Macaca mulatta: one gene and its partner. The protein of the gene in region 1 purifies or fractionates together with the protein of each later gene. This does not show direct contact. Links are inferred from orthologs where the notes say so. Each region holds a gene or a part of one and is shown on either strand. Other genes may lie near its edges.

Region 1 (4,015 bases):
CCCGCTCCTGGCCTGGCACCCGGGAGGGGAAGCTGGCAGGCGGGCGCCGCCCTTCCTGGCGGGGGTGGGGGTAGAGGGGAGGGTGTCGGCAAAGCCGCCCAAGCAGCAGCAACCCTCTGCCCCGGTCAGGTCAGACGGAGGGGGCGTGGGCGCGGCGGGGCCCAGGCGCCAGTGTCTTGAAGGTAGCACAGAGGTGGCTCCCGGGGCCCAGGAGCGCTGCCCGCCCACCGCGGGCCCTCTGGACCCAGGCCTGGGGCTTTCCGTGCCCGGGCAGCCGCCTGCCCGGGAAAATCCCGGCCCCCTTCCCGGCGCTGCGGCCCTGCCCGGCAGAGCGGGGGAGGGGATTCCCGGAATCTGCCCAGAGACCGCGGTCGCGTCACTGGGCAGAATCGGTCCTTGTATGGGCAACGCTTCCGCTGCGTCAGCGGGGAAAGCCCCGGCGCGCACTGCTGGGCGGGGCCGCGCCTGCGCGCTCCGCGTCTCGCCCCCAGCGCCCTGCCTTCAGCTACTGTGTCCCTGGACTGCGTCCCGCGCCCCAACCATCCAACCCTGGAGATTCGGGGACGCGGGAAGGGTGGGACTCCCGGGTTGGGACCACAAGATGCCTGCGCAGAGCCGACGAGGGGGACACATACAGGACCGAGCCACCAACAGCACTGAGCTGGGGGCACACCAGTGCTTTTTTTTCCCTCCGCCCTCCCAGCTTGGAAAAAAAGACAACAGAAATTAATAAAGAACAAATTTTTTTTTTTTTACTTAAATAGATTCAATAAAAAGAACAAACACACACACAAACACAAACACGTCTTAAAATAAACTCTTTAGAGACTAAGTGCGTGTTTCTTTTCCACAGTACGTTGCAGAGAGGGGAGGGCAGGGGGCGGGGGTCCCCTTCCCAATGTCCCCGCGGGCTTGAGTACCGGGCGGCGGGGCCAGCTCCGCCGCGATCGCCCCCTCCTCCCCTCCCTGTTAAATACACAAATATATTATATTCAATATGAATCGAGTCTGTTTCCAGCAGAAAAAAAACATACAAAAAAATGTGGAAGGGGGGGCTTGTAAACGTCGAGGTGGAAGGACTGGGCGCAGGGCGGGAGTTCAGTGTGGTTTGCGGCGCCCCCAGGTCCCAGGATGGGTGCCCACCGCCTGCTCCCTGGACCCCAGTGGGAGACGTGCGCCCAGCCGTCCAAGCGAGGGGGTGTCCGTAAGGGGACAGGGGGCGCTCAGAAGGCGTGTCCCTTGACCCCAAGCAGCAGCTGACAGCCGTTGCTGACGTGGGTCATGACCTTCTGTTTGAGCTGGGCCACCTGCTCCCGGAGGAGGCCGGCGGTACTCGACAGCCCCGCGTTCTCGGCCTTGAGCGTCTTCACCTTGTCCTCCAGGCGCGCGATGCGCTCCAGCTTCCGCTTCCGGCACTTGGTGGCCGCCAGCCGGTTCCGCAGCCGCTTGCGCTCCACTTTGATGCGCTCTTGGTCTTCCATGTTGATGGGGGACACCGGCGGCGTGGCGTCCCGGCTGCGCGCCTCCGGCACGGTCTGCGGTTCTTCCTTAAAGGTGGAGGCGCTGCGGCCCAAGCCCAGCTGCGCCGGGTGGCCACCGGCGAAGGGTGGCGCGTGTGGGAGGTAGCTGATGGTGGCCGTCGGGTATGAGCTCCCGGTCCCGACGGCAGCCCCGGCGCCTCCCGAGGACGCAGAGGCTGGGGAGTAGCTGCTGAGGTTGGTGTAAACGGGAGGTGGCTCCGGGCCGGCGTAGACGCCCCCGGGCCCAGCCGGGGGCCCCCCGCTAGCGCCCAGGGACACGTTGGGGGGTGTCACGTGGTTCATCTTGTGCAGATCGTCCAGGGCTTTGACAAAGCCGTCGGCGAAGCCCTCCTGCTCCTCGGTGACGCCGCCCCCTGCGCCCCCCGCACCTCCACCGCTGCCACCCCCGCGGGGGTAAAAGTACTGTCCCGGGGGTGTAGGCGTCGTCGTGATCACGCCGTTGCTGTTGGGGACGATCAGGCGTTCCAGCTCCGAAGAGGCGAGCTTGAGAGACGCGCCGGTGTCCGAGCCCTGACCAGAAAAGTAGCTGCCGCCACCGCCGCCCTCTGGGCCGGGTCCCCGAGCCCCAGGCGCTTTGAGACTCCGGTAGGGGTCGGCCAGGTTGACCGCCAGGCTCGGTTTCAGGAGTTTGTAGTCGTGTAGAGAGAGGCCACCAGGGGCCCGGCCGTATCCCGTAGCTGTGTATGAGTCGTCGTGGTAGAAGGGCTGTTCCATTTTAGTGCACATCCGGGCGGCCCAGGCGGTCTGGGGAGGGTCCCTGCGGGGCCGCCCCGGGCCTCGCTGCAGCGAGCGGCGAGCTCTCCGCTGCGGTGGCCGGACTGGGTGCCTGGTCGCGCGTTCTCGGGGGCTGGCGCGGGCGGGGAGCAGCCAGCCGGCAGCTGTGCGCAAAAGATCTGTCAGGCTTCCCGAGCCCCCGTCGCCCTCTCCGGCGCGATAGCTTTCCTGGCGTCGTTTCCCCCAGCTCCCAGCTCCCAGCTCCCTGCTGGCTCCGAAGCTGGCCTGGCCGCTCTCAAGGTCCCAGCCGCTCAGCCTGAGCCACACGCCTTTATACCGCGCTAGTCAGCCACGGAAGTGCGCTCCGATTGGCCGTCGCCGAAGCCGGGCCCCCGCGCCCCCCTCTTCGAGCGTGGGGAAGGGGAGGAGGCGGCTCGCGTCACTGTCAGGAAGCGCGTGTCCTTGTAAACAGCGGCCACGGGCCGGGTGGCTCGGCGGGCCTGCAGGGGGAGGGGCTCAAAGGACCCCGGGGTACGCATGGAAGGAGGCCTGGGGGCCCAGGCACATGAGTGAGGGGTTTCAGGGAGGAGGATGATTTCATTGAAGTCCACTGGGACAAATACCAGGACCTGGTACGCAGCAAGTAGGTTGAGGATCTCAGGGTGTGCGAAGAAACCCCTGAGGTACCCAGAATACGAGAGGGGTAGGACAATTCATTGGGAGACCCCAAAAAGCAGGAATGAGGGTTAAGCACGGTAAATCGGGAGGGGTAAGGAGACACCTGACCCAGGAATTGACTGGGGGTCCCGAGCATAGAAGGATGCGGGGCTGGAATTTTCACAGGATGGAGGAGGGGAGAGATCAAAAGGGGTGAGTGGGCGGAGCTGCACGACCCATTAAATTGAAAGAAATGAGTAGGGTCCAGGAGCCCATGGGAAGGTCTGAGGGCTCTCCCGTAATTGGGAAGGAGGAATTAGGGGAAATCTAGGTATGCAGAAAGCGAGTAAGCGTCCTGCGGTACACTGAGGCAGGTAAAATATGCAGGGTAGAAGATGGAGACAAGTCTGCCAGAAACTGGTGACCACTGGGGTCATCTGCGAAGCCCGGATGAAGGAGAGAGTCAGAAGGGTCCGGACACATCTTCGGAGCAGAGAAGACAATAAGAGGGTACTCAGTTGACATGCGAGGAGGGGGCTTTGAGGGTCCTGCGCACCAGGACTGCTGGATCTTCCACGACTGGTGCTCCCCCTCGTGGGTAACCTCCTAGGCATCTGTATTCTCTGTCCCCCATCCTAAAACTCTCCCCTATTGACCCTGGGCTTTGCCCGACACCGTGTCGGCTCCTGGAGCCTGGACCCAGCCCGACGGCTGGGGCGCGGTCGCCCAACCCCACTCCCTTCCTTAGAAACAGGCTGGGGAAAGAGCGCCGAGGCAGGAAGTGTGGCAACAGCCCCGGGGGAAGGAGCCCGGCCCTGTCTCCGTCACTTGGATCCTACGGGACCGTGCGCCCCGCCCTGGGTCCCACCGCATCCTGCGCCTCGGAAGAGGAACCTGGGCGTGCGAGCCCCCGCGGAGGCCCGGGTGCGTGGAGCCTGCCCAGCCACGGAAGCCTCCAGCCACCATCCTCTCCCCTCAAGCAATGGTTCCGCCCGCGGCGCCTGCAGGGGACCGCGGAGGCAGGCAACATGGGACTGTTCCATTGGCCCGACGGCGGGGGACGCAGTCGAGGAGCGGGGCCTGGTCGCCATGGCAACAGGCGG
Region 2 (4,235 bases), on another chromosome or scaffold:
GCTACCAAGAACTTGCATTTTGTTTCTGCTTGATTATTTCCAATCAGAAATCATGTTGTATCATTGGTAGTTACATCATTTTCAAGAAAGTGAAACTACTCATGTATTCCTTTAACTGGAAATTCAGCTCCCAGATTTTTATTTCCTAGTAGCTACAGCTACATTGAATTTTCACTTTTAATTTTCATCCTCTTTCCACTAAGCATTGCTCGCTAACCATCTTATGTTACTAGGAAGCCAATACTGGCCTTTCACTAACTCTTCATATCTTGGTCTTCCTCCCAGACCTCTTGAAGATTGTAGGTGCAAAGCTGGGCATCAAGGGCCAGAGACAATGTTTCTGAACCTATCAGCGCCAATCACAAACTAAGCACTCACCAACAAATCACTTAGGCTTTCTGGGCCTCTCATTCTCTTCCTCTGTAATTTGAGATCAAAACTGCCTGCCCCAAAGGGCTGTTAAGAAGGATATATGAGATTTACATATACACTGGGTAGTCATTATTACTGTGACTCCATCTTCTCCATTTCAGGAAAAACTCATTCTGTTGTTATCAATTCAACAAAGCCCTGTTAGTGAGGAATTAACTAAAACCTTCAAGAAATTCAGGTCATTCAGAGCCTCTTTTGTACTCTGATTGACCCCAAGTTCTTCGCAGACCAGGTAGATGTCACCCCACTATTTGCTGACACCAGCATTTCTCCATTACATATTTGAAAGAAAACCAATTCTCACTTAAAAACCATTTCTCCCTTGGAAAGCTTCTGTGGCATCTTGACTATGTCCTTCCTCCTCCCCTGGCTGGGTAACACTTGAAGCCACTGGCCTTGTCCCATGCCCAGCCAATTTTAAAAAGAAAGGAATCATGGACTCTATCTAATGGAAATCACACCCTCTCAATATTAGAATCATCTAGGTCAGATTTTCATTTTGTAATGAGTACACTGGTCCAGGGAGGTAAAAATGACTTGCCTGAGGTCATAAAGCTGGTGAGTGGCCCATCCCATGCCAAGCTGCTGACCACCCACCAACTGCTCATTTTGCTCCATCACCAATAGGTATCACCACCTCAAGGGATCAACCAACAAGGCAACCAGAGAACAGAGCCATTAGCCAGGTAGATAAGGGGTCAAGAGTCCTGGCACTTGGTACCAACCACAGAGGAGACTTTGACAGGACTGAGATAGGGAGGGGCTATCGAAGAAAAGAGCCATGGAGAGAAAGGAATTCTATAATGGCTAAAGGGCAAGGAGGAAGAGAGAGAGAAAGAAGGCTCCCAGCACTGCCACAGATGCTGGGTGCTGTATCTTAGCCCCACTGCGGGCGTGGGGTGCTGCCTTCTTTGCTGTCTCTGAAACAATTCTGACAGTAACTGCAATCCTCACCACATCCCATCTTTGACCAGGATATCCTCAAAGCAGGAGCCTGTATGTTGTAGCATTATTCTACAACCAATGCTAACTGCAAAACAACGGGGACAGTAATACCAATTTTTTGCCTTCACTTTAAATTGTGGAGACAGAAACTTCGAACAGAAGATGTGACTGTCACCTACAACGAAAGGGGTACATTGAGAGAACATCCAGATTTTCTGGCTCTCCTTTTTTTTTTTTTTTTTTCTGGCTTCATCAAGGATTTAGTAACTATTTTATTTGTAAGAAAGCATATGTGACCTCTGCAATGAAATTAGGTAAAAGAAAATGTTTAGGAGGAAAGGAAGTAGATGAGAGACAAAAATGGGGATAGGAGGAGCACAGAAGGAGAAGGAATCCAGTGGAAAGAAAACTGGTGAGGGAAAAGATGCCCTGCAGAAAAGTCCCCTTTCCCCCACTGTCTGGACACCGGTCAATGACATTAGATAGAGACCCACAGCATTCAAGTCCCCTCACTGGCTCCTTTTCTTCCCACTACACCACCCTAGAATCTGAAAATCTCCAGACAGAAAGGACCTTAGCAGTTATCTGGTCCAACCACTGCATTGTGCCCTCCAACACGCAGAGGGGGCCGGTACTGCCCATGTGCCCCTATTTCCCGGCTCGGCATACTGAGGCTCAACGACATCGATTGCAGTGTAAGCGCTCAGAGTCCTGGCACTAGACCACAAAGCCATTCTCTCAAATATCTGCACAACTGGCTCCACACCCTCGCTTCCCCGCCACGGTGGGTCTCCCGCGGACCGGCCGAAGGAAAAGCCAGAGTGAGAGTCCCAGGTGTGTGGGAGTCCCGGGCTCGGGTTCCAGACACCAACCGGTGCCGGGAGCCCTTCCCGTCGTCCGCCCCGGGACAGCGCGACACCAGCGCTCTCCACTTCCAAACTTATCCCAGCTAACTTTTTCTCGGGGTTGCCTTCACGGTCCTGCCGCCAGCGCTCCGGGGTGCCCAGGGCGACCCCCAGCGGCCGCGCACGCGACGCCGCCCGCCCTCCTGCCCCTTCCCCATTCATTCCTCTCCGCGCGTGGGGCAGCCCTCCCGCAAGCCTCCCGCCTTCGTGCCTCTCTGCCAACCCCGGGAAGGATCGGCTCCCTCAGTGCCGTGTCTCGAAGCGAGGGATGCAGCGGGACGGCGAGCTGGGCAGCCTCGGACACCCCAGCGCACCCGCCCACCCACCTCACGCCCTCTCCCAGCCCCGCAAGCCAGCGCCGTCTGCGGAGAGAAGCGGCGCTCCAGGCTGGCGGCAGAGTGGACGCCAGACCTCCGTCACCAGGAACCTTTCGCGCCCCAAGTCAAAAGAGAAAGTTAGTTCTTTCGCTTTGCGGGAAACTTTTCAAAGCGCCGAGGAGCAGCGGTGGCTTAGAAGAAGTTAAAGCCAGAGTTATTTCCAAGCCGGAGACTGGGGGCGCGGATCTGGGGTGGGTCAGGGGTCGGCGGACTGGTTACTTAGAGGGGCGCGAAGGGAATGAAGGCAAGCCGCCCTCGTCGCGCTCACTCCCTTGGCTTCCAGCGCTCACCTCCAGGCTCCGCTCGGGGCGGCCAGGGTCCGGAGGACGGGCAGGGTCGGGACCGGGTCGGGCGGGCTGTTTGTCTGGCCGGCGGGCGAGCACCAAGGACTCACGGCCGGCGCGCGGGCTGAAGGGTGCGCTCGGGCGGCGGCGAGAGAAGAGAGCTGTGCAGTGCGCGCCTGGCTGCGTGCGACTGTGGCTTGGAGAGCGTTGCATCACCCCTTTTATAGCCCTCAGGCGGGCGGCGCGGTCGTTTACTCCGTGTTGCCAGTCCCGGGCTGACGTAATGCTATTAATAGCTTCCCGGGAGAACCGGCCGAACGGAGCGGAGGAAGGGGGTGGGGGAGGGGCCAAGGCGGGGCGGAAGGCGGGTGGAGATGGGGGGGCACTGGTGATGCAAGTTCGGGGAGGAGCCAGCCGAGGCGCGTTCCCCCAGCCTCGCTTACTGAGACACACACCAGCCCGCCCTCTCTCTCCATATCAGGACCGGAGTCGCCTGGGATAGCCGCCAGATGTGCGTACTCGCTGCTGCGTGTTCCAGGCATGACCAATGGTGCCCAAGCCAGCGGCATGACTCCACCGCGCTGGCATCTCTCCCTCCGCTAGGTTGAGGAGCGGGGGGGCGGGGAAGGTGGGGAGGCGGGTCCCGGCCCCAGCCCAGACTAGGTGAGGCTGGGAAGCGGGCACGACCTTTCTCTAAAATGCGTGGTCATTTTCTGGAGCTTCAGGAAAATACCCCCTCCCCCACTGGCCTCCTACTTCTCTAGCAGGGACAGAATAGGGGCAGAAGCGTTAGTCTGTGATGTGGGGAAGGTGTCCAAAGTCACTCTTCGGTGTATCCACGCCATTACCCGCCGGGTGTGACCTCCGCGGCGGGGACCGCGAGAAGCCCGCCCGTTAACACAAAAGCGGAGGGCAGCCCTCTGCTGGCACCGTGCGCCGGAGCCCACGGCCCCGGACCCTCCACATAGACGCACACGCAGGACAGCTCCGGGCTCCGAGACTAGGGCGAGTGGTAGGACCGTATCGGTTCGATTTTTCTTCTTTTTTTTCAATCACAAAGCGTTTGAAATTGACAAGAACGTCTCAGTGAAACCAACAAGAGCGTGAAAAGATCGGAGTCCCGGAGGAATCAGAGGCAGCCCGGTGGGAGCGTAGGAGGGGGCGGAAGCCAGTGGCCAGGACTAGGGGGAAAGAGAAGGTGCTTTGGGGTCCGCGAACCTGCCCAGGCCTGGGGGTCGCCCCGCTCTCAGGCGATATTTAGGGAAAACCCATCTTCAGCTTTCACGGGTTCT

Evidence for each region.
Region 2: the proteins of JUNB (region 1) and ATF3 purify together in Homo sapiens (affinity purification with mass spectrometry; 3 studies listed by BioGRID and IntAct, counting the BioPlex papers as one, with this or other methods). This does not show direct contact. The link is inferred for Macaca mulatta from reciprocal best matches to the Homo sapiens genes JUNB and ATF3.

Annotation. Positions count from the first base shown.
Region 1 is NC_133424.1:13,346,020-13,350,034, reverse strand, and holds JUNB (transcription factor JunB), read right to left. Parts: upstream 2,569-4,015; 5' UTR 2,268-2,568; coding exon 1,224-2,267; 3' UTR 727-1,223; downstream 1-726. UniProt on the Homo sapiens protein: Transcription factor involved in regulating gene activity following the primary growth factor response. Binds to the DNA sequence 5'-TGA[GC]TCA-3'.
Region 2 is NC_133406.1:70,340,062-70,344,296, reverse strand, and holds the start of ATF3 (cyclic AMP-dependent transcription factor ATF-3), read right to left. Parts: upstream 3,023-4,235; 5' UTR 2,950-3,022; intron 1-2,949.